Stegostoma tigrinum: one gene and its partner. The protein of the gene in region 2 interacts with the protein of the main gene of each other region in a pairwise test. Links are inferred from orthologs where the notes say so. Each region holds a gene or a part of one and is shown on either strand. Other genes may lie near its edges. The genes, in order: gmppb and txndc5.

The links.
Region 1: the proteins of txndc5 (region 2) and gmppb interact in a two-hybrid assay, tested with the Homo sapiens proteins (2 studies listed by BioGRID and IntAct). The two-hybrid records come from large-scale screens. The link is inferred for Stegostoma tigrinum from reciprocal best matches to the Homo sapiens genes TXNDC5 and GMPPB.

What each region holds. Positions count from the first base shown.
Region 1 is NC_081364.1:65,535,661-65,551,008, forward strand, and holds the start of gmppb (mannose-1-phosphate guanyltransferase beta), read left to right. Parts: upstream 1-7,209; 5' UTR 7,210-7,298; exon of another isoform or gene 7,299-7,331; intron 7,332-8,475; 5' UTR 8,476-8,481; coding exon 8,482-8,610; intron 8,611-9,289; coding exon 9,290-9,370; intron 9,371-10,680; coding exon 10,681-10,729; intron 10,730-11,460; coding exon 11,461-11,603; intron 11,604-12,289; coding exon 12,290-12,448; intron 12,449-14,641; coding exon 14,642-14,720; intron 14,721-15,348. UniProt on the Homo sapiens protein: Catalytic subunit of the GMPPA-GMPPB mannose-1-phosphate guanylyltransferase complex. Catalyzes the formation of GDP-mannose, an essential precursor of glycan moieties of glycoproteins and glycolipids. Can catalyze the reverse reaction in vitro.
Region 2 is NC_081358.1:46,142,594-46,158,388, forward strand, and holds the start of txndc5 (thioredoxin domain-containing protein 5), read left to right. Parts: upstream 1-8,741; 5' UTR 8,742-8,966; coding exon 8,967-9,142; intron 9,143-12,215; coding exon 12,216-12,365; intron 12,366-13,423; coding exon 13,424-13,529; intron 13,530-15,795. UniProt on the Homo sapiens protein: Protein disulfide isomerase of the endoplasmic reticulum lumen involved in the formation of disulfide bonds in proteins. Can reduce insulin disulfide bonds.

The DNA of each region.
Region 1 (15,348 bases), on a different chromosome or scaffold from region 2:
GCAGTAAATGGGCTATTTTAAGTGTATATCAGTTAGTATTAGAGACATATTGACAAAAATTCTGTAGCTTCAAGAAATGGCCTGATCAGACATGCATAGAATATGGACTGCTTTCGAAGCTCACACACTCCTTTGTGTGGTAATTCTCTTTGAGTAGTTTAAAAAAAAACTCTGTATCCTTTCCTTAAATCAGGAACAGACGGTAGTAGGTTATGAACAGACACTAATTCTGGCTGATGAGTTAACATGCAAGGCCATGAACTCAGGAAATATGGGGTCCGTCACAGATCTAGAAGGTGCTAATTGACTGGAAATAGCCCAATAACTATTAAAAAGAAGGCCAGTAAGAATCAGGAAAGGTGACAAAGGATAACATGCCAATACCAGAGACCTGTTTAACAGGCATTAAAGTAAAAGAGCTCTCAGATCATACCAGGAGAAAGTGAGGGTGAAGTCCCATTTAGCGCAAGAGGGCCAAGGGAGTATTGCACAAGTTGAACATCCATCAGATAGCAATAGTGTACCAGGGAAAGTAGAACAGATAGGGGGAAATATCAGTCCCAGAACAAAGAGAAAAGAGAAGGGAATGTAGCGCAGAGCCAACTCTGCTGGTGCAGGTCACCAGGGCGATATCAATAAATTCAACACATAGCTACCCAATGGGAGATCTAAGGAAGAGAATCCAGTCTCAAATCTCAACCAGTAAAATTGGATTGATGTGAAGTTAAATGAAAGTAAATTAATAAATTCCGGGCATTCCATAGGAGGCAGATTACCACCTACCAATCCCTGAAAATCGAATGTATAAAAATACCTGAATTCTGGTCCATGGATTATAAAAATGGACAATGAAGGGTGAAAACTTGGGAATGTCAAACGGCCCAGTAAACAAATCCGACTGCTTTTACCGAAACAGGTTTGGAACCCAGGTTAGGATAAAGAATTGAAAGTGGAATATGTTCTAGTGTGTGTGTTGTCATCCAAAATTTTTGTATTGCTCTTGCACATCAACAAAATATTCACTGTAAACAAATTGGAGATATTGTTCTTGTTGTGGAGAGATCGTAGTGAAAATGGACGATCAATATTCTGAGAATCCCTGCATTGCAGGAAGAGAGCATTCAGCCTATTGATTGTATGCTAGCCATCTGAAGAGCACCCCACCCAATCCCTGTATTTAATATAGCTGATCCAACTAATATGCCCACTATGGGGCAACTTAGCATGGCCAATCCACCTAAACTGCATGTGCTTGGACTGTGGGAGGAAACTGGAGGACCCAGGGGAATCCATGCAGACACAGGGAGAATCTACAACTCCGCACAGATAGTCACCCAAGGAGAGAATTGAACCTGGGTCCCTGGTGCTGGGAGGTAACAGCGCTAACCATTGAGCCACTGTGCCACCCCAACTCCGATTATCAGACTTTAATAAAAGGAATCAGAAACGTTTGCAGACTAAAACTGATTTTAAATCAGGACACTACTCACTTGCTGTGACCATTTGATAAGCTTGGGGATCCCACATGGAACATACAAAACTGCGTATGTCTGAATTATTATTATATTTAAGAAATATTGAAGCTCATAGATGTGTCAAAAATTTGCATCTTTGTCTTTATTCACACTTATACATAACTGCACACATTGGAAATGAAAGTCTACCAGGTAGTGTTCAGTTCACAAAAACAATGGAGCTAGACTTGAAATATACAAATAAACCATATTTTTGTGTTTTACTTTGAGCTATTAAGCAGAAAGAAAGTAGATGGTTTGAACACAGCAAGGATAGTGGAAGCTCCTAAATAAAATCCGAAAGAACTACAGATGCTGTAAATCAGGAACAAAAACAAAGTTGCTGGAAAACTCAGCAGGTCTGGCAGCATCTGTGAAGAAAACATGAGAGTTCATGTTTCCGGTCTGGTGAACCTTCCTCAGAAGGGACTGGAAGGTCCTGCCTCTCTTTCTATCAATGTCATTCCAGCATTGGTGAAAAGAGCAAACTGGGGGAAAAGGAAACACAGTGAATGAAAAGTTGGAGATCTGCAAGCTTTATCATTCCTGAGGAAACAGGAAGGCATTTAAATAGCTGTGAATCAGTTTTCGCTCTTGCAACTCAGAAGAATCTAATAAACTGTAAACTGCAACTGCCTTTAATTTCCAGTCAGTAGCAAATACCTATCTTTCAGACTCTTTGTAAGTTCATTACCTACGGCTTGTGTGAATGTGGTTGTCACATTTTATTGTTTTTCTTGGGTCCCTCTCCTTCACTCCAGCAAACGTGGAATTGGCACCCCCCACTCTGTCCTTCTGATGTGGTTAATTGCGTTTGACTGAAGTGTGGTAACTACATGGTTAAAAATAAGTATTTAACAAATTGTTGTGACTGACCAAGTAGTGGTTAGAAAGGAGGGGAGCTGTGAATATTTTCAGCTCGTTGTGATACAGCTAATTCTTTAATGCTGGACCTCCTGCACATATCATGTTCTCTCTGGCAGGCTCAGAATTGACGATGATTGTCTTCCACCCCGGAGTCGTGAGTCCTGAGATGCTACTGGTGGGCACTGAAGCAGGAGGGCGGGCTGTTCGGGCTTTGGCACACTCCCAACACTCTTGTGCTCACCCTCCATGTTAGCCTGTTGGAGATGGTTAGCTCCTTTGCAAATTCTTCATCTCCAAATTGGGATAGAGGTTCCTGCACATTTATGGGATATTGCGTTTTTCCTGGGATCATTTGATGACGTCGTTGAGTCTTTTCCTCTGCCCCCCTGTTGCCCAGTTACCGTGACGAAGCCCAGAGTACAGAGTTCATTGTGAGAGTCTTATGTCAGGCATGTGGATGAGCTGGCTCTGCTCAGTGCCAACCGATTGACTGTACGCAGTGTCTTGGTATTGGGGATGTTAGCCTGAGAGAGGACACTGATAACGGAGCATCTGTTCAGCCAGGGCATTTGTATGATATCGTGGAGGCATTTTTGGTGATATTTCCCCACAGATTTGCTGTACACTGTCCATGTCTCCACCACGTACAGGAGGCAGGGAACACTGCTGCTGTGTAGACCATGGGCTTGGTGCCTGGTTTCAGGTCTTTGTCATCAAACACTCAGCTCCTCAGATGGACAAAGGCTGGGCTGGGCAGGTTGGGTGAATTTCTACAGTGTACCTTAAGTGTGTAAAGTGCACCTTATGGTGTGTAGATAGTACACACTGATGCTACTGAGCTTCAATGGTGGAGGGAGTGGATGCTTGTGGATTTGGTGTCAATCAAGTGAATTGCTTTGTTTGGATGGTGTTGAGATTCTTGAGTTTTCTCTGACAGCTATCACATATAGCACAGCCTGAACACAGGTTTTTTTATAAGGTGCAGTTCTGAAGGCTGTCCTCTCAGCTTTGGCTGTACATCCAGAGGAAGTCTATACATCAGAGGTTTGGTCATTTATGGAAGGTGCTAATTTGAGGCAAACCCTGACTGCTGATGGGACTGTGTTCCTGATTTTACATTTGTGGTCATTTAAATTGATCTTGTTAGGATGATTCCATATTATGAAAGTTGGAGTACTTTAAATCCAATCCTCTTTTTAGAACTTTCTGGACACCATTTAAAATAAAACCATCTTTGTCACCCACATTTCATGTGTAGCAAACAACATCTTGTGTCCGCGAAAATTCCTATCACTATCACGATCAACTATCAGGGTAATTGCAGTGGTGATAATGGGAACTGCAGATGCTGGAGAATCCAAGATAATAAAGTGTGAAGCTGAATGAACACAGCAGGCCAAGCAGCATCTCAGGAGCACAAAAGCTGATGTTTCAGGCCTAGACCCTTCATCAGAGAGGGGGATGGGGTGGGGTGAATAAATAGGGAAAGAGGGGGAGGCGGACCGAAGATGGAGAGGAAAGAAGACAGGTGGAGAGTATAGGTGGGGAGGTAGGGAGGGGATAGGTCAGTCCAGGGAAGACGGACAGGTCAAGGAGGTGGGATGAGGCGGTAGGTAGGAAATGGAGGTGCAGCTTGGGGTGGGAGGAAGGGATGGGTGAGAGGAGGAACAGGTTAGGGAGGCAAAGACAGGCTGGACTGGTTTAGGGATGCAGTGGGGGGGCAGGGGAAGAGCTGGGCTGGTTATGTGGTGCAGTGGGGGGAGGGGACGAACTGGGCTGGTTTTGGGATGCGGTGGGGGAAGGGGAGATTTTGAAGCTGGTGAAGTCCACATTGATACCATTGGGCTGCAGGGTTCCCAAGCGGAATGTGAGTTGCTGTTCCTGCAACCTTCAGGTATCATCATTGTGGCACTGCAGGAGGCCCATGATGGACATGTCATCTAAAGAATGGGAGGGGGGAGTTAAAATGGTTCGCGACTGGGAGGTGCAGTTGTTTATTGCAAACCGAGTGGAGGTATTCTGCAAAGCAGTCCCCAAGCCTCCGCTTGGTTTCCCCAATGTAGAGGAAGCCACACCGGGTACAATGGATACAGTATACCACATTGGCAGATGTGCAGGTGAACATCTGCTTAATATGGAAAGTCATCTTGGGGCCTGGGATAAGGTTGAGGGAGGAGGTGTGGGGGCAAGTGTAGCATTTCCTGCAGTTGCAGGGGAAGGTGCCAGGTGTGGTGGGGTTGGAGGGCAGTGTGGAGCGAACAAGGGAGTCACGGAGAGAGTCTCCGGAAAGCAGACAAGGGTGGGGATGGAAAAATGTCTTGGGTGGTGGGGTCGGATTGTAGATGGCGGAAGTGTGAGAGGATGATGCGTTGTATCCAGAGGTTGGTGGGGTGGTGTGTGAGAATGAGGGGGATCCTCTTGGGGCGGTTGTGGTGGGGGTGGGGTGTAAAGGATGTGATGCAGGAAATGCGGGAGGCGCGGTTAAGGGTGTTCTCGACCACTGTGGGAGGAAAGTTGCGGTCCTTGAAGAACTCGGACATCTGGGATGTGCGGGAGTGGAATTCCTCATTGTGGGAGCAGATGCGGCAGAGGAATTGGGAATAGGGGATTGAATTTTTGCAGGAGGGTGGGTGGGAGGAGGTGTATTCTAGGTAGCTGTAGGAGTCGGTGGGCTGGAAATGGACATCAGTTATAAGCTGGTTGCCTGAGATGGAGACTGAGAGGTCCAGGAAGGTGAGGGATGTGCTGGAGATGGCCCAGGTGAACTGAAGGTTGGGGTGGAAGGTGTTGGTGAAGTGAATGAACTGTTCGAGCTCCTCTGGGGAGCAAGGGGCGGCGCCGATACAGTCATCAATGTAACGGAGGAAGAGGTGGGGTTTGGGGCCTGTGTAGGTGCGGAACAGGGACTGTTCCACGTAACCTACAAAGAGGCAGGCATAGCTGGGGCCCATGCGGGTGCCCATGACCACCACCTTTGTGTGTAGGAAGTGGGAGGAATCGAAAGAGAAGTTGTTGAGGGTGAGGACGAGTTCGGCTAGGCGGATGAGGGTGTCAGTGGAGGGGGACTGGTCGGGCCTGCGGGACAGGAAGAAGCGGAGGAACTTGAGGCCATCTGCATGCGGAATACAGGTGTATAGGGACTGGACATCCATGGTGAAAATGAGGTGTTGGGGGCCAGGGAATTGGAAGTTCTGGAGGAGGTGGAGAGAGTGGGTGGTGTCACGGACGTAGTTAGGGAGTTCCTGGACCAAAGGGGAGAAAAGGGGACACCTTCTCCCACCCACCCTCCTGCAAAAATTCCATCCCCTATTCCCAATTCCTCCACCTCCGCCGCATCTGCTCCCACGATGAGGCATTCCACTCCCGCACATCCCAGATGTCCAAGTTCTTCAAGGACCGCAACATTCCCCCCCACAGTGATCGAGAACGCCCTTGACCACGTCTCCCGCATTTCCCGCAACACATCCCTCACACCCCGCCCCCGCCACAACCGCCCAGAGAGGATCCCCCTAGTTCTCACACACCACCCCACCAACCTCCGGATACAACACATCATCCTCCAACACTTCCACCATCTACAATCCGACCCCACCACCCAAGACATTTTTCCATCCCCTACCTTGCCCGCTTTCCGGAGAGACCACTCTCTCCATGACTCCCTTGTTCGCTCCACACTGCCCTCCAACCCCACCACACCCAGCACCTTCCACTGCAACCACAGGAAATGCTACACTCGCCCCCACACCTCCTCCTCACCCCTATCCCAGGCCCCAAGATGACTTTCCACATTAAGCAGAGGTTCACCTGCACATCTGCCAATGTGGTATACTGCATCCACTGTACCCGGTGTGGCTTCCTCTACATTGGGGAAACCAAGCGGAGGCTTGCGGACCACTTTGCAGAACACCTCCGCTCAGTTCACAATAAACAACTGCACCTCCCAGTCGCAAACCATTTCCACTCCCCCTCCCATTCTCTAGATGACATGTCCATCATGGGCCTCCTGCAGTGCCACAATGATGCCACCCGAAGGTTGCAGGAACAGCAACTCATATTCCGCTTGGGAACCCTGCAGCCCAATGGTATCAATGTGGACTTCACAAGCTTCAAAATCTCCCCTTCCCCCACCGCATCCCAAAACCAGCCCAGTTCATCTCCTCCCCCCACTGCACCACACAACCAGCCCAAATCATCCCCTCCCCCCCCTGCATCCCAAAACCAGTCCAACCTGTCTCTGCCTCCCTGACCTGTTCTTCCTCTCACCCATCCCCTCCTCCCACCTCAAGCCGCACCTCCATCTCCTACCTACCAACCTCATCCCACCTCCTTGACCTGTCCATCTTCCCTGGGCTGACCTATCCCCTCCCTACCTATACTCTCTCCACCTATCTTCTTTTCTCTCCATCTTCGGTCCGCCTCCCCCTCTCTCCCTATTTATTCCAGTTCCCCCACCCCATCCCCGTCTGTGATCGAGGGTCTAGGCCCGAAACGTCAGCTTTTGTGCTCCTGAGATGCTGCTTGGCCTGCTGTGTTCATCCAGCTTCACACTTCAGGGTAATTGTAGTAATCACTCCAGCCCACTTCACCCCCTCAGGGCGCTCTCCCCCAAGACGCTGCTTCCTGGTCCATCTTATGCACGCGTTTCGTTGTTGGCGTTGCCCTGACCCCGATTCCGATTGGTCAAAGCTGTCCCACCTCCCCTCCTTCATTAACCAATCGATGGAAGACGGATCCTCTCGGAACACTTTCCCCTCCCCTCTCCCGCATTGGCCGGGCGCTGACCTTACCTCCCCCTATTCCCGCCCCCCATTGGCCGGGCCGCCAGCGGCCCTTTCGCCATTGGCTGTTGCCCCGTTACGGCGCGGCGGCAGTGCCACGTCGTTCGATGCCGGAGGTGAGGGTCCGGGGAGCAGAGAAGTAAGTCCGGAGGAGAGCCTGGGATGGAGAGAGGTGGGGAAATAGGGTCCCGAGGGCGAGGGTGACAAACAGTTTGGGAGGGTCGGATGCAGATCCCGGGTTGTGGGGGTGTGGAGGAGGTGGGGGTGTGGAGGAGGTGGGGGTGTGGAGGAGGTGGGGGTGTGGAGGAGGTGGGGGTGTGGAGGAGGGGGGGGTGGGATGGAGGGAGGGAGAGGATGAGGTCTCCTCAGGGGACAGGAGATGACTGAGGGTCTCTGTGATTAGAGTGAGTGAGTGTAGGGGGTGTGACAGAAATGGGCAGCTCCAGTGAGTGGAGGGCACCACATTAGCTGGTCCTGAGAATAGTCCAGCCTGTACCTGTGTGGCTGTGACCAGGTTTGAGCTGAGTAAAGGTCCCACCTGGCTCAGGCACTAGTCAGCGAGGGAGGGGATCCTGAATCGGGGACCAAGCGGCAGAGTCTGCACGTTTCTGTCCCGCCCCGCTCCGGTTAATGGGACCTGTGGTTTGCCGATTCAGAGACACGGCGGTTGGGTGTCAGCGCTGTACATTTCAGTCGGTGCCCATTTCAGGTTTTTGTCTTCGAGGACCAGCAAATCAACTTTATAAAATAGCCAGTGCCATTTCTGAAGAAGGGTCCTGACCCGAAACGTCAGCTTTTCGGCTCCTCCGACGCTGCCTGGCCTGCTGTGTTCCTTCAGCTCCACACTGTTGTCTCTGACTCCAGCATCGGCAGTTCTTCCTGTTTCTGCCTCAGTTACTGGTGTGACTTGAATAAAGTTTGTTTCAGGACTGCACTTCTGCAGGAAAAAAAAACCTGATTGCAGGGTTTCAAACATGTTATGTTAATTCTGGGTCTCGATTTTTTGGAGAGGAAAGGACGTTGAAGATTGCAGAGCAAATGTGTGTTTCTAGAGTAAGGGTTGATGATGAAAGATTTGATGGAAAGAGGAAGGCACTGCCAACCTCAACAAAGGTGGGGCCCGGGAGTGGAATTGCTTTTGTGGGAATAGGTTCAAAGGTGCATTCATTCCACCCTTGACTCAGCTTCAGTCTCATTTGTACAGCGTGATTGTCACCTTCCTGCCATTGCTGGAAAATTGCAGCATCTTGAGGTTCTATTCTTGCATGTTTTCCTCTAGATTGTTGAGTGAGAGCTCCCATTTCATGTCTTCACAGCTGACAATGAAAGCGTTGATTCTGGTTGGAGGTTACGGCACGCGGTTACGGCCGCTGACACTCAGTGTTCCAAAACCGCTGGTGGACTTCTGCAACAAGCCCATTCTTCTACACCAAGTGGAAGCCTTAGTAAAGGTACAGTCAGCCCCTGCCAGAGATGGTTACAATCAGGATATCAGAGAGAGGAGCGCATGTATACCAAGACCGGAACTTGACGATGCAGTGGTAATGTTCTGGCAGCATGTGATAATGGATGGCTGTGTGTAAGGACTAGACAGTGCATCCTCACAGATGCCTCCCACTGCCACTTCATTGTATTTTTCTATTGCACAAACTTTTAAAATTGTACAGAGATCATACTGTATATAATCATTTCTTTTATATTAGTGCTGAAATATTTTGAGGAATATTGTGGATAAGCCAAAACAATTTAATGTTGCAGTTTTCCCTTTCAACTGCATCAGCGTTAGTGCAAGAGATTTGTGACTGCTCATTAATATTGAGTTGACATTTACTTCAACAGCTTAATTGTGGCATGTAGTCAGCACTATGTCAGCCTCCTCTAACATCTAAGTTGGGAAGGGCTGAATATCAAATTGCACTGTTTCTAAACAGGTCAACATGTAGATTCGATTTTTTTTCCCTCCCTCATTGTTTTCTTCAGAATTTCAACTGAAATCTAACAGTATGCAGACTGTTGTAACAATAGCTGTAGGTCCTTATTGGGAATGTAGAATAAATCAGTCTAAAAATGCAGACTATAGACAGGTTCTTGTGCCTCTCTTTTCCCACATCTATTATCTGTTTTGAGCAGGCTGGTGTATCCCATGTAATCCTTGCTGTCAGCTACATGTCGGAGATGTTGGAGAAGGAGATGAAGGAGCAGGAGCAGCGGGTAAGTGGGAAAAGGCTACGGTAGCGGATGGAAATGTTTCCTGCACACTGATTTTCTGTGATTGTGCTAGACATGGTGAAAGCAGAGATTTGTATTGAACTGTGCAGCATGCAACCTGATTGATCCCAGCAGTGTTTTTCCCCTCTTGCTGTGTAATTGTGTTTTGGGATGTTGAATCATACAGGTTGGAGAGGATGATAGGATAAACAAGTGAGAATGTTGATTTGACCCTTGTATGGTTAAGACCATTCAGCTTTTCTCAGCACCATGAGGACAGAGCTCCAGCAGCTCCTGCTGAGTGCTGAACACCCATTGAGCTTAAGGAGCCTCATTCCTATGTGGCCTCTCTACTTTCTACCCTCTGAAAAATTGGAAGATCATTTCAAACTGCAGCCTGTACTTTATGTCATAGCTGGTCTCATTCCCCCGGACCCATGCTCTTTGCAACCCTCTGGAACTGGGCTTGAGCTCATCCCTGGCTGTCTGAGAGGGAAAGGTACTGCCAGCAGAGCCAGGCCTGCCACATCCAGGTGCAGGTAGGTCAACTCCAGGCCCAGCTTGCTGCCTTGAGCATCCACCTCTTTCTCTTTCTGCCTACCTTGCACAAATGCCTGCCTGACTGATGAGCATCTGGTAGACAGGGTAGTAAAGGTGTTCAGCATGCCTACCTTCACTGCTTAGACCTGTGAGTATAGGAGTTGGGATGTCATGTTCAAGGTGTACAGGATATTGGTGAGGCCTATTCTGGAGTACTGTGTGCAGTTCCAGTCTCCCTGTTATAGGAAGGATATTACTGAATTGGAGAGGGTTCAGAAGAGATTTATCAGATGTTGCTGGGTGGAAGGTTTGAGTTATAAGGAAAGGCTAGATAGGCTGGGACTTTTCTCACTGCGGTGTAGGAGGTTGGTGATCTTATAGACGTCTTTAAAATCATGATGGGCATAAATAAGGTGAATTGCAGGGTTTTTCACCCATGGTAGGGGAGTTTCAAAACTAGGGGCATATTTTTAACTGAGGAACAAGTTTTAAAAAGGACATGAGCAACATGTGTGTGTGGAATGAACTGCCAGAGGACGTGGTGGATGCGGATAGAGTTACATTTAAAAGACATTTGGATGAGTGCATGGATAGGAAAGGTTTGAAGGCCAAACGCAGGCAAGAGGAACTATTTTAGTTTGGGAACGTGGTAAGGATGGACTAGTTTGACTGAAGGGTCTGTTTCCATGCTGTATGATTCTATGAAACAATAGGAACAGTAACTGTAATTGTGTATTCTTTACTAACCAGCCATCTTGTGTTATTTCCTTTAGCTGGGTATCCGGATCTCTCTCTCTCATGAAAAGGAGCCCTTGGGAACAGGTGAGAAACTTGGCCACATTGATATACTGATGACAGTGAAACCCTCGTGCTCCCCTTTCTGATCTTCCCCACTCTGCCCTTAAGGGGACTTCACTTCAGTTATTCATTTTTGTCCCTAATGGAATCCTGGCTTCTCCCTTCTGCACTGTAGATTTACAAAAAACTTTATTTCCCTTAAATTTCATTAATTTCTGTCCCTGAATCCCATCCAAAATGGAATAATAGAGCATCTGATGAGGGCAGCAGTTTAGTGAAATAAAAGGACAGGAGATGGTTATTAAACTCCTTCTCTCTTTTCCGGCGTTAAGTCGTTGATGATCTGCACTGAGGTGAATTTATCTGTCTCTACTCCATATATCTTCGTACCTTTACTGTCATACTTCATATGTTCCTAGCTATTTCCATCTTAAGCAGTCTATTTGCAAGAAGAGTCTTGACCCGAAACATCACCTTTCCTGTTCCTCTGATCATGCCTGGCCTGCTGTGTTTCTTCAGCGCCACACTGTGTTATCTCTGACTCCAGCATTGGTAGTTCTTCCTATCTCTGACTACTGAGTTAGCTTTTTTTTTAAAAAAATGATACAATAACCCTGAAGAAGGAATCCGTGCAGGGCAGAGAAGGTGCTTCCACATAGAGTATGTGTCCGTGGATGCTGATTGTGGATCTTGCTAGGTCAGGAGCACCTGGCTGTCTTGTAGCTTTTATGACTCTTGTGTGTTGCCTTTTGCAGCTGGACCCCTCGCTCTGGCCCGTGAGCTGATCACCAGCAGCTCGGAGCCCTTCTTTGTCCTCAACAGTGACGTTATCTGTGAGTTCCCCTTTGAAGAGATGGTCCGCTTTCACAAGCATCATGGAAAGGAGGGTACTATTGTGGTGAGTTGTGCCCAGGTGGATGCTCTGGGGACTTGGATTCAACACCTCCCACTACAGCCAGTGCAGTTCCCATGGATAAAACCTGGAATTCACAGTCAGTTTCAGAGAGGATGATCACGAAACTACGATTGGTTCATTAACATCCTTTAGGGAAAGAAATCTGCCTACGTGTGCCTTCAGAACCACAGCAAAGTGGTTCATTCTTGACTGTCCTCTGCAATGGCCTAGCAAACCACTCAGTTGGCATTTGGGGGGGGGAGAGACAGATCCCAAATACTAGCCGTGCCAACAAGATCCATGCCCGATGAAATAATTTTTTGTTTTAAAATGGTATTGCATGTTAAAACTGCTGTAGTGACCAATGTAATCAGTAAACTTCACCTCCTGTGCGCTGCACCAGTTCACATTGCAAAGTTACAGCTGTAACAGCAAACTCTGGCCTCAAGCATTGTATGTAAGGAATTATTCCTCAGGCAGGAATGAGGTGCTGGGAATATCTGCCTATTTCCTGGGAACGATGGACAGTACTGGGGAGAGTCTTCTGACTGTTCCAGCAACTGGACAATGTCTCGAGGGAGACCCAAAAGGAAACGTGTTTGTGGAAATTGCTCCCTGACCTTGTCCCTGCCACTTTAGCTTATCAATGTCCCTCTGACTGTCTTTTAATAAATCCGTCTCATTGACAGGTCACTCGGGTGGAGGAACCATCCAAATACGGGGTTGTGATCTATGAAGCAGAAATTGGGCGAATACATCGATTTGTGGAAAAGCCTCAAGTGTTTGTGTCAAACAAGATCAATGCAGGAATGTACATCTTCAGCCCAATGGTTCTGAACAGGATCCAGGTGCGTTTCCCTTGACGTGAAGCGGCTATATTTGGTCTGTACTCTATTCAGCAAGTGATGAAGGAGATCTTTGGATCCCAGTGGTAAAGATCCTCAGTGTTTCCGTGAACTTGGTATAAAACATGGCCCTACTACCCTGTAGCCTGCACAAACCTCAAAGTGAAGGCTATTTAACGCAGGCAAATGAAGTGCTAAACTCTGTTTGATTAGATTCCACTGCACTGTCCCCATCCACGCCCCAGGATGGCAACACCATGAGGTTAGCTACAGAGTAAAGCCCACTCTACGCTGTCCCCCAGCAAACAGTCCCCGGACAGGAACGGCACAGGGTTAGATACAGAGGAAATCTCCCTCTGCACTGTCCTCATCAAACACTCCCAGGACAGGGAAAGCTCATGGTTGGATACAGCTGTCATTGAATCGAGCTGCATCTGCAGAATTTGAAGGTGCTAAACTTCTATTCTAGCATTCATTAATCCTGCACTGATGAGGAGTTAACTTCATTTTCTGTTGGATTGTTAAGGCTGCCCATTTCTGCAAGTGGAAATAATCTATTCCTCTCTTGCCTCTATTTATCTTTTCCTGGGTCACACCCTATAATCTTGACTTCCTTTATTCGGTTTTGATATGAGTGGTACTAGATGGACCAGTGCTTGTTGCCGATCACTAATTTATACTCGAGAAGCTGGTGAACCACTGTCCTGAAACAGTGCATCACTACTCAAACGCAACCTTGAATAGCCCCTGGTCTGCGCACACGCACGCGCACACACACTCCTACTGTTACTTAGTGGTTCCAATCACATCTCTGCCTAAACACAGACGTTTGACATATCCTGTATAAATATCCTGTATTTATATCCTATATAAAGTAATGCCTCCTGTGGCCGAACTTGGAACAAGTCCTGATTGCACACTGCCTCTAAGCTCACAGACGCACCTCCCATGTCTGTAATTCCCTCCAAGATAACTCTGGCATCTTGTCCATCTCCCTGATTTTAGTTGTTCCGTTTGGCAACTCTGCCTTTTGTTGCCTGGGATGCAAGCTCCAGAATTCCCTGTCAACATTCTCTGCCTTTCCTTGAAGACATCTGAAATCCTTGATCAAAGCTTTTGATCATTGCCCTAGCTTGGCATTTTTTACTCGCTCATTCTGTCAAGGCAGGTTATTGTTGTTGATTTCATCCAGTTATTGTTGACTTAATCCCAGAGGTTCACACGAGCTAGAATTGTGGCTGACTCAGATGATTTTCATAAATTGCAAACTTATTAATATATCTATTAACTCGTAAATGCGGTATGTCAGTGATTTAAATCGGAGACTTCATTCTGGCAGGCGGTTTCCAGTAGAGAGTTTTCTCTTGGATCAACCAGACTGGTTGGAGCTAGGGCTTTGGTTAGCTTAGTTGGCTGTACGGTGGTTTGTGATGACAGGTTACCAAGTGTGAAGGATTTTCCTTCTCAACCCCTCCCCTCACCTGAGGTATGGTGAGCCTCAGGTTAAACCACCCCCAGGCGTTTCTTTTAAAGAGAAAGCAGTCCTGTAGTTCGGTAATTAACAGTAAAATTGCTATCTGTTCTGGTCACTTGGTGACAATCAAGTACATTTTGAGACTGTGACACGCCCTCTTCTAATTCCCCTTCTGGTTACAAGTGTTTGGGTACATGTCTTGGCAGTGTAACAAACTGATCCCTGTACCCTGTCAGGATTCAGATCATGCCTGCACTGTCCTTAAATCTAAGAGAGAAAATTGACCCCAAAGCTCTTGTTGCTGTTTGCTGGCCAGGGTTTACATAACTTGGGCATGATGCTCCCTACCGTTAAATACAGTCAACTGTTTGGGACCAAAGCTGACAAATAGTTAAGAGTCTGAAGGTCAAGAAAGCTTCCAGTGCTGTGCCTGAGTAAGTGGCGTCCTTTCCTGGAAGAGAGATGTAAAATAACAATCCCACACCCAAAATAGTTTATATTTTTCTCTGCCAACTTGCAGATAGCTTATATAATGAACATGCTAGTTAACAGAAGGGTAAGGTATCAATGAGTCTGAGCATGGACAAGACTTCTGCGTGAGGAAGGGAGGATGGGAGAGTGGTGCTGTGAACCAGCTCAACTATAATGGACCATTCCACTGGGACTGGCAGGCTGGGAATCCAGTGACTGGTGCTGATTCTGTGTCCTTTATCTGTTTACAGCTCAGGCCAACCTCCATTGAGAAGGAGATCTTCCCAGTCATGGCTCAGGAAGGACAGCTGTATGCCATGGAGCTGCAAGGTGAGGAAAGCACTCAGTTCAGACTTGACTTGAGGCAGAGTCTCCTTCTGAATTGGGTAGTCTCTGAGCTTCAGGTCTGTGATGTTGGAGAGATATTTCAGTATCGCTTTTTGCTTCACACACCCAAACGTGCTTTTTCTTTCTCTCACCATCTGCCCTGGGCAAGATCAGTTTATGAATACAGGCCAGTGATTTTTTTCTTAATTCACTTCTAACTCATGCCGTTGTTTAGGGTAGGTTAGTGATTATATAATTAAATGATGTAGCTTGTTATTCATATTGATCCAGTGTTCTTTGGTTTGCTCGGATCTGCATTGTGTTATGATGTGGAGTCTGCCATTGGGCAAATGCAAACTTTGCTCCAGTAGGGATTTCTAGAGTGAAGGAGCCTGCTGTTAGATGACAGCTGGGTCAAATATGGTGAAATCAGGAAGTGGCCTATCTGTACACAAGACAGTGATTATCAGGAACTCTATCCTTCACAAACCTGGGAACACTGCCATTAACTGGAGGTCTCAAAATGGCAATCGATTGATTTCTGTTGGTAAGGATATGGAGTAACAGTCATTAGATCAAATTCAGTTGCAGGTCAGGCCGTGATCTATCTGAAAAGAAGAATCACTAAAAC
Region 2 (15,795 bases):
GGGAGATCTGTCTTGGCATGGCCAGGGGAAGAAGAACTGTCAGAATAGGAATTATTGCTTGTAGTGGATGCAAGAAGTTCTCTGAAGACTGAGGAAAATGCCCAGAGATGGTTCATTAAAGTTACCGCTTGGCAAAAGGGGGTCACAGGAACCAACCAGAAGCTGGGTGAACCTGAGGGCTGTTTCTTCAGAGGTCTGTCATTGTGGGGAGAATGTGATGGATGACAACTGTTGAATGGGAATATTCCCTCCGAATTTAAAATATAATCAACAGTGCTTTTAGACATGTATTACATTAAAAAAATTTAAAAATGTGAAATCTTGCTGCGTCATTCTTTAAGCTAGTAACTGGAATTCAAATCTATTTATAAAAGTTATCGGTCTCTGAGGAATTGGAAACAGTGAGTATATATAAATCAAGAAAGGACTGACAGGCCGGATTTCTTTTCTCTCAGCAAAGGGAAGGCTGAGTTAAGCTAATTGAGGCCAGTAAAATTCTGAACTGTTTTAATAGAGAGTTAGCTCATTTGGCTATACAGCTGGTTTGTGATGCAGAGTGATGCCAGCATAGTGGGCTCAATCCTGCACTGGCTGAGGTTGCTCGGACTGTCCTTCTCAGCCTTACTTATGCCTAAGGTATGGTGACCCTCAGGTTAAACCATCCCCAGTTTCTCTCTCTAATGGAAGAGTAGCCCTATGATTTGGCAAGACTAAGGCAACTTTTTGTTTTATAGAGGAGAATGCTTCTGTTTGAGGAATAACGCATAACTAGAGATCATTAGTTGATTATAGTCACCAAGAAATTCAATAGGAATTTCAGAAGAAACATCTCCAATCAATGAACAGGTCTGAACTAGCCAGTGCAAAGACTGGTTGACGCAAATAGTCAAATCCTTAAGGGAAAACTGAGCAGACATATTAAAGAGAAGGGAATACAGGTCACAGTATAGATTTAGACGATGAAAGATGAGAGGGCACTCAAGTGGAACTCGAACACCAATATGGACAGGTTATAACAAATGTCCTATTTCTGCAATAGACATTGTATATAATCCTATGTCCTTGATTTCTGTGTTCCTCCAACTCTGGCCTTTTGCACATTCTCAAATATCACCATTCTACCATTGGCAACAATGCTTTCAGCTGCTAAGCCCTAAACACTGGAATTGCCTCATTAAACTTTCCCACATCTCTAACTCCCTTGATGTAATTTAGGAATCTGATACCACTTGAATACAAGAAGTCCAGCTCATTGCTCGAACGCACAGTAAAACCTTGTGATCTCAGTCTCTTAAAACCTGATTGAAAGAGCTCTGATTGCAAAGCTGATTGGATCCTAATAACCTCAAAGGCATTCCAAAATTCAGCGCAGCTTTAAATCAGCTCTTCCTTTTTTACCTCTCTACTTATGTTCAATAAGCTTCTTTTTCTTTATTTTTGCTAAAAATTAGTTTGGATTCATGAACTGTTGGAGGACAAGGAGCAGACGTAGGGACTATTATAGAAATAGTTTGTTTTAATACATTCTTGTAGACATCAACCAATGGTAGCATAGGGATAATGTTACCGGAATAATAATCCAAAGATCTGATGAATGGTCTGGCCTGCAAATTCCAACATTGTGGTTGTGAGATATTAATCAATCTGTATTTATAACGCTAGTCTCATTAGTAATAATCATAAAATTACCGGATTGTTTTAAAATCATCTGGTTCATTAAGGTACACCAAGGGAGAAAGCCTGCCTTGCTTACCTATCCTAGCTTCAATGCAACTCCAGATGCACAACAATGTGGTTGACTCTTAGCTTCCCTCAGAAACCACTAGTAAATCATTAATGTGTAACAAACCCCTGCAGAAAAAAAAATTGGAGGTACCTTCACCACATGGACTGTGGCATTTCATAACTGCAGTTCACCACCTTCTTCTCAAAGGTGATTAGGAATGGGCAATAAATACCATTTTTCCACTGATGACGGCATCCCAAGAATGAATTTAAAAAGATGGGATATTGGTGAGCCACTGAAAAACATGTGGTTCTAGAAAAGACATTCCCAGAGTTTTGACCTAGTGACAGTGAAGGTATGGTGATGCAGTTCCAAGTCAGGATGCTGTATGACTATGACGAGAACTTCAGATGGTGGAGTTTTAATGTATCTGCTGTCCTTGTTCTCCTTGCTGATGCAAGTCATGAGCATGTAAGTTCCAAAAAAAACCTTGGTAAGTTTCTGCAGTGCATTTTGTAGATGCTTCTCTCTGTAGCCATTTGCACTGGCAATGGGGGATAGTTAATTTTTAAGCTAGTGTTTGGGGTCCCAGTCAGATAGGTTGCTGTTTCATGGATGGAGTCAAGCTTCTTGAGTGCTGTTGGAGCTACTCTCATGCAGATAAGTGGAAATTTTCCATCACACTCCTGAAAAGTGCCTTGCAGATGATGGACAGGATTCGGAGATTCAGGAGGTGAGTTGCTCACCTCGAATTTCCCAACCTCTGAGTTACACTTGTAGTCACAGAATTTGTGCTAATCTAGTTAAGCTTCGAGCTAATGCTAACCCCCATAATGTTTATGTTGGGGTTTCTGCAATGAACATGCCATTAAATGTTTTGGGAAGATGGTTAGCCTCTCACTTTTTGGAGGTGGGTATTGCCTGGCACTTGTAGGGTACATAAATGACTTGCTGGTAATTTGCCCACATCCAAATGTTTCCCAGGTCTGGGTGCAAAGAAACATGGGCTGTTTCATCATCCGAAGAGGTTTGAAATAAATACTGTGCAATTGTTGCTAACATCTTCTAAAGATGCTGGATGACGAGATTGATGGTGGTCAGGCTGAGGGCACTACCCTGAGGAATTTCAGTGTAAAGCCCTGTGTTAGAGATGCTTGACTTTCAACATCCACAACATCAAGGACAATCACTTTTATCGCATCTTTGGAATCCACCTCAAGGTTAAAATGATATCTGGAAATGAGTGACCACTTCAGACGCCAAAATGAACATTAGTAGACAGCTTGTTGCTGAGTAACTTCTGCTTAGTTTTGCTGTTGGTAATACTTCCAAATGCTTTGCTGATGATTGGGAGTAGCTTAATGGAAGGGTAATAAGCCAAATTAGATTTGGCCTGCTTTTTGTGCCGAATTTTCTACATATTCAGGTAAATGCAAATGTTGCAGCTATCCAGAACAGCTTGGGTACAGGCACAGATAATTCTGTAGCACAAGTCTTCAGAATTATACTTGAGGAGAAATTGGGACCTTTAGCTTTGCCCTATCTGATGTTTCAACTGTTCCTTAATGCTACTTGGAATAAATGAAATTGGCTTTTCATGGTTTCTGTGGTGGCCAAGATGGCTCATTGAATTCAGCACTTCTGGCTAATGATGATGGTAAATAATTCAGTCTTGTTCTTTGCAATGATGTATTGAACTACCCTATAGTTGAGAATTGGGATTTTTCTGAAATGGGTTCTTTGTTTAATTGATGAGTCATCAATTAGGTCTGATCTGAATCGCCTATCTCTGCATGCAGTGTACTTCTTCTGCAGTTTTGCATGTATATTCACCCATATAGCAGTTTAGACCATGTTTGCACCTCATTCCTGGGGGTGTACAGTGCTGCTCCAGTTACACTTCTCGTTAAAAGAAGAGCGGCTCCCAGGCTTGATGGTAATAGTAAAGTGAGTGATATGCCAGGCCATAAGGTTACATATTGTGATTAAATACAATTCTGCAGCCAATGAAGGAGCCCTAGAAATGCTGGAATCAATGGGGATCAGAGCATAAAACCTCTGCTGGTTAGAGTCATACCTAGCACATAGGAAAATAGTATTGGTTGTTGGAGGTCAGTCATCTCAGCTCCAGGATATCTCTGCAGGAGTTCCTCAGGGTAGTGTCCTACACTCAAACATCTTCAGCTGCTTCATCAATGACCATGCCTCCATCATAAGTTCAGAGGCGAGGTTGCTCGCTGATGATTGCACAATGTTTAGCAGCACTTGCAGCTCCTCAGATACTGAAGCAGTCCGTGTTCACACGCAAAACATTCTGGAGAATATCCAGGCTTGGGCTGACAAGTGACATTTACTGTACGCAAATGCCAGGCAATGACCATCTCAATAAGAGATAATCTAATCACTGCCCCTTGACATTCAACAGTGTTACCATCACCGAATCCCGCACTATCAACATCCTTGGGGTTACCACTGATCAGAAACTCATCACTTACACACAGTGGCTACAAGACCTGATCACAGGCTAGGAATACTGAAGTGAGTAACTCACTTCTGAGTCCCCAGAGCTGGTTCACTATCTACAAGGTACAAATCGGGAGTGTGATGGAATACTCCCCACTTGCTTGGATGAGTGCAGCTCCAATAACTCTCGAGGCTTGATGCTAGGCCCGAAACATCAGCTTTTGTGCTCCTAAGATGCTGCTTGGCCTGCTGTGTTCATCCAGCTTCACACTTTGTTAGCCCGCTTGATTGGCACTACTTCCACAAGTATCCACGCTGTCCGCCACTGACACTCAGAAGCAGAAGTGTGTACTACCTAAAAGATGCACTGCAGAAAGTCATCAAAGATCCTTAAACAGCACCTTCTGAACCTACAATCTCTTCTATCTATAAGGACAAGAGCAGCAGATACATTAGAACACCACCATCTTTAATTTACACAAGTACAGTACATGGACTCACTCTGAACCAGACCCTAGAATAAGGAGATTCTCTGAGACTCCTGTTTATAGCCGTCAGCCAGGGGTCCCTGATTGGCCGGGTTAACAACTCCAATCAGGGATCTCACACTCAACAAGATCCATTTGGCTATCCTCATTCCAATCACTACACATCTTTTTAAAACTGGTTTTAAATTAGTAAGCTCATGTTAGGCCTCTGGCTAACTGGTCCAATAACTTTAAAACCATTGCGTCACCATGCCTCATGAATTCTATGCTGCAGAATCTGCTGGAGGGGAACGCATGATGGTGGGAAGAGGGCCTGTACAAATGCAGTGCAATACGAAGACTCATACTCACCCTTCCTGTTTTTGATCTAAACCTATCTTTATCATCTTTCACTCCTGTATCTCTCTTACTTTCCTCTAGATTCCCCTTGAACAGATGTCAGCTCTGGTGCAGTTGGTAGCACTCTTACCTCTGAGTCAGCAGGTTGCAGATTTGAGTTCCACTTGAGAAACTTGAAAACAGGAATCCAAGCTGTCAATCTGGTTCATTACTGAGAAACAGTATTCACAGTGCTGTTTTTTGGATGAGATGTTGCACTGAAACATTTTCGAAATACAAGAGTTCTCACGCAGAGCCCTGACTAGTAGTTACCGTCGAACATACATCACAAAAGATTATGTGGTCATTATTACAGTGCATTTGTAGGACCTGCCTGTGTGCAAACCGGCTGCCACATTTCCCACTTTACAACAGTTTGAGGAATACTTAGTTAACATAAACCTTCATAAGATCTTATTCAATTAATTGAATAATTCAATAATTTGTAATAATAGAGATTATTACAAGCTTTTTAGAAGTGTAATTTATGAAACTCATGTCAAGTCTTCTTGAGTTCTATGGTTTCATCACATTCTGGATAGGCAGTTTCCCCAGTATTCTTTAGTAATGACTATCTTATAGCTATGACCATCATGACTTCAGCAGGAGTGGAAATGCCTCATACACTCCTCTGCCTATTGATAAAATCACAGAATTGGTAAGGCGCAGAAAGATGCCATCCTGCCTTACCAGCTCCTCAAATGAGCATCATTACCTGGTGCCAAGCTTCTACTTTTTACTCCTTGCACACTATTTCTATCCAAATAATCGTCCAATGCCTCCTTGAATGCTTCAACTGAACCTGCTTCCACACACTTCCAGACAGTACATAGTGTAACCCAACTGAAGGGTAAAATCAGCACAGTCCTACTCTCTCATTAGAGAGACAACTGGCGATGGTTTAACCTGAGGGTCACCACCACCCTTCAGGTGAGGGGAGAAGTTGAGAACAACAGTCCTTTGTGGTAATCTCAGCCAGTGATAGAATTGAATCCAAGCTGTTGGTATCACGCTGTATTGCAACCGATCTGTCCATCTAACTGAGCTTAAATCCACAGGGTTTCTCATTCCTTGAACTATTCTTGTAAATTGTTTCTGTGCTCACTCCTATGCGGTCATATCTTCCCTATAACGTTGTGCCCACAACTGTACATAATATTCCAGCTAAGGTCCGTCAATAACTTGACTGAGATCTTTTAAGAGTGACAAAAAAGTTTAATAAAGGTAGAGCAGTGCATGTTGCTTATGTGGACTTCAGCAAGGTGTTTGACAGGATTCCACATGGTAGACTGATGAGCAAGATTAGATCACATGGAATCTAGGGAAAGCTAGCCATTTGGATACAAAATTGGCGTGAGGGCAGGAGATGGAGGGTGGTGGTGGATTTTTTTACACTGGAGGCCTGTGACCAGTGGTGTACTACAAGGATCGGTGCTGGGTCCACTGCTTTTTGCAATTTATATATATGATTTGAATGTGAATATAGGAGGAATGGTTAATAAGTTTGACAATGACACAAAAATTGATGCTGTCATGGACAGTAAGAAGGTTATCTCAGAGTACAATGGAACCTTGATCAGATGGACCAATGGGCCGAGGAGTGGCAGATGGAGTTTAATTTAGATAAATGTGAGGTGCTGCACTTTGGTAAGGCAAATCAGGGCAGGATATTACACTTAATGGTAGGGTTCTAGGGAGTGTTGCTGAACAAAGAGACTTTGGGATACAGATTCATATTTCTTTGAAAGTGGAGCTGTAAGTAGATAGGGTAATGAAGAAAGCCGAAAGAACTGTTGATGCTGTAAATCAGAAACAAAAACAGGCATTTCTGGAAAAGCTCAGCAGGTCTGGTAGCATCTATGGAGAGAAATCAGAGTTAACATTTTGGGTCAACTGACCATTCCTCAGTTCTGAGGAGAGGTCACTCGTCCTGAAACATTAACTCTAATTTCTCACTAAAGATACTACTGGACCTGCTGAGCTTTCCCAGCAATTTCTGTTTGCGTCACGAAGAAGGCATTTGGTATGCTTGCCTTTAATGGTGTCCATGCATTGAGTATACAAGTTGGGATGTCATGTTGCAGCAGAACATTGGTTAGGCCACTTTTGGAGTACAGTGTTCAGTGCTTTATGAATGATGCTGTTAAGCTAGAAAGGGTTCAGAAATGATTTGCAAGGATGTTACTAGGGTTGGATTGTTTGCAGTACTGGGAAATATAGAATAGGCTGGGGCTATTTTCCCCAGAGCGTTGGTGGCTGAGGGGTGGCTTTATAGAAGTTTATAAAATCATGAGGAGGCTTAGGTAGGGTGAATAGCCAAAGTCTTTTCCCCAGGGTCGCAGAGTCCAAAACTGTAGGGAATAGGTTTAAGGTTAGAAGGAAAAGATTTAAAAGGGACCAAAGACAACTGTTTCACACAGAGGGTGGTGTGTGTATGGAATGATCTGCCAGAGGAAGTGACAGAGAATGATATGATTACATTTTAAAGGCATCTTGGTGGGTACTTGAATAGGAAGGGTTTAGAGGGAAATGGGCCAAATGCTGGAAAATGGGGAAATATAAATTTAGGATATTTGGTCAACATGGACCAGTTGGACGGAAGGGTCTGTTTCCATGCTGCACGGCTCCAAGACTGTATTCTTGTTTCCTTCTCCAAAGTGTTTTTTCACTTTCCTTTAAACCTTTTGCATTCTCTTTGTTCCTCAATTGTATTTTCTGCCTTTCACCTCTCGTAAACACAAATTTTCTTTCTAATGTTAGTTTCTACCTACTTTGTAATCCAGGCAACTCTGGATTAATTTCTCTCATCCTTCCCATTTGCAGGAACATGGAAGTGCCCAAATAACTTTCTCTTTGAAGGTAGTTCTGTATTCATTTCCGGCTTTTCTGCCAGTCAATTCTGATCTTGTCCCATTGAAGTCAGCTCTCCCACAGTTGATTTGTCTTGCTGTGGATCGTTGCACGTCATTTTCCACTATCATCCTGAACTTTATAACACAAACATCATTCTCTCCTCACATGTCCTGTACATATAGTCGTCCAGGGTTCCAATGTGTCCATGGCTTCCTACATGTTACAGATCACATTTTCCACTCGAAGCGAGCTGTCAAGTCTACGTATATAAAGACATAAAGATCCGGCCCGAGACGGGAGGGGAGAAACTGTTCCCTTGGTGGAAGGATCAAGAACCACACGGATTCAGACCTTTGACAAAAGAAGGATCAGAAACATGGGGAAAAACTTATTTGCACATAGTGAAGGCTCGGATATGGAATGCATGGTCTGAAATGTGGTGGAGACAGACCCAATCTTGGCTTTCAAAACACATTTGGATCATTATTCTATGAGCAAATAAATTACACAGCTACGTGTGGAAAGGCGGGGGAGTGAGACTAGTTGAGTTACTGTTGCAGAGAATCAGCAGAGACACGACGGGCTGAACGAGCTCCTTCTGTTCTGTGACCACGTACACATTCATCCACATTGCATTCAAAGTTTGATTCAGCCGCATCCTGAGTACTGCAGCGTAACCTTCCCGCAAGCTCTCCTCACTGTAACTTGCCAGCCGTGAAATGCTGACGAAGAGACACCACGCTAGCTGCATAATATCGTGTGACCCTCCCACTGGAAACGAGGAGGCTTTGATTGACAGTTCAGGCGGAGCAAATAAATGTGTGTGTTTGAACGCTGCCTTACCCTGTGAACTGGCGTGAAGCTGTGGTAAAGCAGGCAGCCTTTCTCCATTGAGCCTGCCTGCATTTGGTTCAGTTTGCGGCTGCTGTAGTGCAGTGACACCACGTAGACTTTCCCGGACAGAGAAGCAGAGGCGCTGACTTCTGATTTCCCAGCTTTTGGATTTTGTTGCTGTTTGTTTGTGTATGTGTGTGTGCGCGCATTTGGTTGAATGAGTGATGGCCTTCTCCAGTTACCTGTCCATCTTACCCCTGCTGGTCTCTCTGCTCCTGGGCAGCCTGCGCTTCTCTTTACAGGAGCAGGAGGACGATCACAGCAAACACCTTTACACCGCCGAGCTCTTTAGCCACGCCGTGCAGACCGCTCCTCACTTCATCATGTTCTTTGCACCTTGGTAAAGTTTGCCATCTCTTTTTTTTGATCATTATTGATTGCATTCAGATGCCTTTAGGGGAGGATTGACTGATTTTTTTGTTATTGCATATACTCGGATTTTTGCAGTTTTGCTTTGTTTTGGAAATTGCGGAAACAAAACTTTGTAGGCGAAAGAGAAGTTAGAGACTTTCCATTGGGTGGAATAGTGAAAGTTGAGTGGGAGTTTAAAATTATCAGCCGCAGTTCCTCCAGAAAAGTTGTGGGGGGGGGGAGGCGTGGGAAGTGGACAAGAGGGTAGTTTGAGATCATATACGTGTTACTGTTTACAGTATTCACTTCAGTCAGTATTTGCCCCTGTGTTCCATTGTAATTCCCAACGTGTTGTTATGGGAGCTGTGTACGTGGCAGCAAAGGATGGGAGATCACATTACGTAACAATCTTTTACAAAAGCGGTTTGCTCTTTGGGGCGAGGTGCTTTTGTTAACAAATGCAAAAGGAAGTCGTGGTATCTTAAACGTTTACATTGCAAACCTCCAGCGTTTGCTTAGTTGCAAACATGAATGGGATTTGCAACTACGTGACCGCGCCTCCCCACCCCGGCTCCTCATTGTACTTTGACATTCTCTGTACTTCCTTTCCCTGTACTTCCTTGTTGAATGTATGTCTGGTGAGGGCATCCCCTCACACTGAGACAGGTGCCTCATGACCTCAACTTATTCCTTCACCAACGTTTGATGGTTAATCTGTCAGCAGGCCCTGTGTTACATTGGTTGCTGACTCTGATGCGGTGCAGAATCAATTTTTGATTAATAGCTTAAATATATGTCTTTCAGGCACCATTTCTTTTGAGTTGCCATCCATGTCAGATGCATATTTAGGCATGACTGAGTTTACAAAAATGTGTTTTTCTAAGTGGATTTTTTCATACAGTGCTGTGCGATCTGCTTTTAAAATCCTGAAATATTTGTTATAGTACTTCAGTTTGCCTTCCATTTGATTCTGTTTGAAAAGAGTGGATTATCTGTCAACTCTTTCTAAAAGGCAATTAATGTTTGACCAAGTGTTAGTTTAAAAACTGTAATTGATAGGTGTCTGTTAATCAAATATTAAGGGAAGCCGGGCAAAGACAAGTATATAGAGTTAGTTAGGTAGAGAACAACTTGGAGGGTTGCATGATATCCTGTTCCAATATTCCTGTGTCCACCTTCCCATAACACACTTTTTAGTGGATTTCTAGCTGACTACTTCTAATAACTGCAAGATTTAAATTCAAATGCACTCGACTTTCTGAAGTAGATTTATACCATGGATGGACTGCCCCATAGGATGAACACACATTACTTAAGAACAACATGCAGTTGATATCGGATCAGTGAATATAGTAGGCATGGGGACCTTGTATCCAGGACTGTTGATCTATTTGAATTTAAGTCTGTAACTGATACCGAGATTGTTGAGAACATGTTGGTAACTTCAGAGATATCGTACGTGTTCATTTTTCCAGGCACACAAACAATATGCAACATGTCTACATGTATTGTATGGAAATGTTCAACCATGTGTACAAAGATCATTTGTCTTGAAAGATTAATGTCAGATATGTAACTCTCAACTGTTAACTTATAGGTTAAGATGTTTATCATGCAGCATATGATCCCCAGTGATTGTGGAACATTCAAGTTTTAAGTTGGACTATTAATTGGATTATTAATTTCCTTTTGAATTGGAAAATGCACATCCAACATTGAGTGGAGAGCCAGCTGAATCCGGCTGGATAGGGACGGGTGAATGGAGAAAGCATACTGAGGTGCATACTTTATTTGATGTCTATCACAAAGAGTACCTCAATAGTACCACTTCTGACTGAACTAACTTAGACTAGGATGGCAGGTGAAGACAGAACCAGCATGAGTGGAAAAGCTTAGTTGACCTTGCAGTTAACAATCTGCCTCTCATAGATGAAAATGACACATGGTATTGGTGGGGGTGATCACTACACAATGTATGCCGAGACTATCTTCCTTATTCACACTGACAATGACTCTTGATGAGTTGTGTGACATTACTGCCACGTTAAGTGGGATAGATTAGAGCAGATCTAACATCTCAAATTACGGCATTTATGATATGGGTAGTCAGCAAAGAATTGCATTCAGCCACAACCTGTAAACTCAGGTCAGCACATCCCTCACTCTACTACTATTGACCAGCCAAGCATCAAGCTGATTCGATAAAGAGAACATGCCAAAAGCAGCACATAAAATTAGTTGTCACCCTGCTAATGCTATTGCACAGAACTACGTACAGCTAAACAGTGGAAGTAACATTTTGAAGTGACCCAGTAACCAATAGGTTAAATGGAAGCTCTTCATTCTTCCACAACCAGTAACAAATGATGGTAGACAATTAAGCAACCAGTTTGAGGAGGACGCTGTGTGAATGGCCTCATTCTCAACATGCATCTTTGTAGTTAGTGCTCACTGGTGCTACTGAGCATTCAGGGATTGAATGTTTGTGGACGTGATGCCAATCAAGCAAGCTGCTTTGTTCTAGATGGTGCAAAGCTTCTTGATTTGTTACTGGAGCTGCACTCATCCAGGCAAATGTGAGTATTCCATCACACTACTGACTTGTGCCTTTTAGATGGTGGACAGACTGTAGGGAGTTCGGAGGTGAGTTACTCACTCCAGGATTCCGAGCCTCTGACCTGCTGTTGTAGTCACAGTATTTATATGGTTAATCCCAAGAAAAAACACTTAGCTCGCGTGTGTAAATGACTCAACTGCATTCACAGCCAGATTTGTTGAGTCAGTGATCTATCGCTGTCATCTCCTGAGGTTCCTTTCATCGTAGATATTGGTCCTCAGGAAATTTGATGTCCCCTTGTGTCTCTGGGACTAGGTACAGTCATGCTGAACCATTAAGAAATTCGATTAAATTCTGTTTTTCTTTCATCAGCACAGTGCATGAGGAAAAATCTATCATAATTTAGAGATGCTTCTGTACAGGTAGTACAAGCTTTGGATTCTAATCAGTTTTCATGCCATTCATTCTACACTTCTACTAAATATATGCTATCTATTCTTAACAGGTGTGGGCATTGTCAGAGACTTCAGTCCACATGGAATGAACTAGGGGACAAATACAACAGCATGGAAAACACTCCAGCAAATGTGGCTAAAGTTGACTGCACCAAAGATACACAGACCTGTTCAGATCAAGGAGTCCGTGGATATCCTACGTAAGTGGTGTGCTTTGAAAAGGTGATGTTTCACTGAAAGTGTTTTTAAACATCATGCAGGCCTGGAAAGGATGAGTCACCCTTAAGTGATTGCCAGTCATCTGTACTGTCTGAAGATGTAAGCAGTTTGAGATTTCTTCATTTTGGGCGCTTGATTTTGATTTAAAGGGGTGATGGAATAATCTTGTTTGATATTCTGGAGATTTTAGTTTAATTTGATTCAGTGAGCAGCGGATAATATGAAGTTCATTATTACACAACTTTATTTCTGCATTTCGTTCCCAACAACACTTGTAAAAATAATAAAACCAAATGATCAAACCAGTAAAATGTGATCTCAAGTACATTAATGCAGTGTTCTCTACAAGTAACAATTGATTGCAATCGTCAGTAGGTTTGGGAAGATGGCATTCAGTGTAATTTGGAAATGTATTTTAGTAATTATGTTTCCATGACGGGGGTGGGTGGCAGTGGTAATGTCACTGGACTAGAAGTCTAGAGCCCCAGGCTACTGATCAGGGGCATGCATTCAAATCCCTTCATGGCAGATGGTGAAACTTGAATGCACTAAGATGTTTGCATTGAATTGCTAGTCCAATGCTGACCATGTAACCGCTGTCAATTGTTGTAAAAAATGATATGATTTAATGTACTTTAGGGAAGGAAGTGTGCCATGCTTACCTGGTCTGGTCCCAATGGGTCTCCAGTGCCACAGCAACATGGCTGCCTCTTACCTACCCTCTGGGCCTTACACTCATCCTCTAACTAAGTACAATAAGAGACACATCTTTGTTATAATAGTGAGTTCCAACTAATCAACTGTATTTAAAGCATAACTTTATTCATGCCTATGTCTCACTCACTTCGACCAATGCTTTCAAAAACAATGATCACTTGGTCACTGTAAATCATGTTTTTTGGCCTTCTAATCTTGCAAGATGCTTTCAGCAGAAAACGTTCAATTTGTTTTTAATTAAACAGCATTTTGAATCTAATGTTATATCTGTAATGCATTTTCTGTGTGGGCTAATTGTCTCACTTTTGGATTTTCCTTTTAGACTGAAGTTGTTCAGACCCGACCAGGAAGCAGTGAAATATCAGGGACCCCGTGACCTGCAGTCACTGGAAACGTGGATGCTTCAGACCCTGAATGCTGAACCTGCTGTAAGTCTTCAGAAAGTCATTGTAATCTCAAACTTGGGAATGTTTTAGAACCAAGACTGTTGCTGAGAAATCTACATAGCAATTTCTGTTTCTGTTTCATTTTTGTTACTTGCCATTTGTAACCAAATGGTTACATAGCTTTTGTTTTTATGCAAAACTTGCAAACTGACAAACTTCCAGCTGTATTCACAACGTACTTTCACCAAGCAAGCTGCTTTTTGCACCATAAGTAACAACTTCTTCAGGTGGTTCTGCAGAGAAATGCGTACAAGTTATAAATGAAACTCATAGCAGGTTTGTATTGATGTGCAAAAACAACTCAACCTGGCATTTTCATTCATTTTCCATTCATACTGCATAGAGAGAGTATTTTGCATTGCTTATCCTGAGAAATTTAAGGAAAAACACTCATGGACTCTACTGTGGTGAAGACCAATTTGTAGTTTAAACCTGATGGGCCGAGAGGCCTCCTGTATGTATCTCTAGGAATGTACAAAGTAGAACTGGTAGCTTTTGAATACTCCAAAGAGATTTTCAATTATAAATAAAAACAAAGTTATCATGGCCACACAGTATGTATAGTGAGAGAGAGAGAGATTTAACATTATTGCTATATGACCTTCCATCAGAATTGAGGAAAGTTAGAGATTTGATGGGCTCTGAATAAGTGAAGAAGGGGAGGGGAAAGATCAAAAAGGAAGCTCTGAGTTGGTGTGGAGGACAGAGTACCTTCAACGAAACGTTGCATGTCAAAAGAAGCCAGAGAATGATAATGAGACAAGATTATACACAAAAGATGTGCCTAAGTGAATGAAAGGATAACAGCCACCTGAATGTGAAGTGAGGGGATTAAGAAGGAAACAAGAGAAACAAAACTGGCAGAAAGACATGAAACAAAATGGCGTAAAGGTTATGGTCTAAAATATTATGTTCAGTGTTTTGAAGTTGAACGTTGAGGCACAGCTCCGTGAGCTTGTGTGAACCTTCAGTGGAGCAATGCGGCAGGCCAAGGCTGGGGGTAAAGTAGAGGTTTGAAGTGACAGCTGAAACTCAGGGTTACACTTGCAGTTTGAACAGAGGCATTCAGTAAAACAGTCACTCTGCTTATTTGGTCTTGCCAATTTAGGGAATTTGGCTGGTCATAGGACACTGTTTTTCTGTCTGTCATTATATTTTTAGTTTTACTTTTGACTCTACCACAGAATAGCCTACAGGTTTATAGTATTGTAACCTCTGCAAACTATTTAACCAAAGTGCACATTTTAAAATGTAGAAAATATTTAATGGTTTAATATAAGTATTGCATTATGGGTTCGAACAAATTCCCGTCCAGGCTAAAGGTTGTGTGAAATGCCATTTTCTTTAAATATTAACTAGCTTTTCCCCATACTAATAGACTGTACAAATACCAGTCTCCTGAAATAGTTGTTTATATTAATCATTTAGACAGAGATTGGTTATGAGTTGAGTTCAGCTCAATAACATTTCCAAAAAATTAAAAGCAGGAAGAAAATAAAACTGTCGCTTCCTTGATTTCTCCTTTTCTGCCTTCCACAATCTTATTTGAATGGTCTCACTGACTAATTTATGCCCTGTATTGACTTCTGTTTAGCCTTTCTACTTAAAAAAAATCCTCTAAACATTTCACGAAGAATGGAATGCCAGTGGATTACAAATCCGAAATCATGTGTGTTTTCAAAATGGCAGTCATAATGTTTGTAAAATAGAAAATGCTTGTGCTGTCGGAGTCCTTTTGGGAATTTGTTTTGTTTAATAAAGTATGTAAAAAGGAAATTCATAATTATAGTGACTCAGAGGATCAAAAATAGAGCTATTGCTTTTCGCATCTAAGAAAACGAACAAATATGAATTATCTCCAGCTAGTCGTTTCCTATTCTTCTTGTTTTCCAGCAGCTTAAAATAATGGTGAGCCCTGTGACTCTTCCATTATGCAATTTTAGAAATAAATTGTTGACTATTGATGCCATCTGAATAGATCGTAAGAATTTACAATCAAAAGAGAAGTGTTAGGTTTCCATTCACAAATTACACTTTTTTGTTCAGGTCTAATTTCTGTGGCCTAGACTCTGAAGTCCAAATTACGTTATTCAGCGTTTATTATTCAAACCCTCTGCCGACATGGGATACTTTTGTGCAAATTAATCTTCCCATCCATCCAGACCTGCTCAATAAAATGCACTTTCTCAGCCATGTGATCTTTCCTAAAAAACAACAAGGAAAAGAGTAAACCTCAAAAGTTTGCATT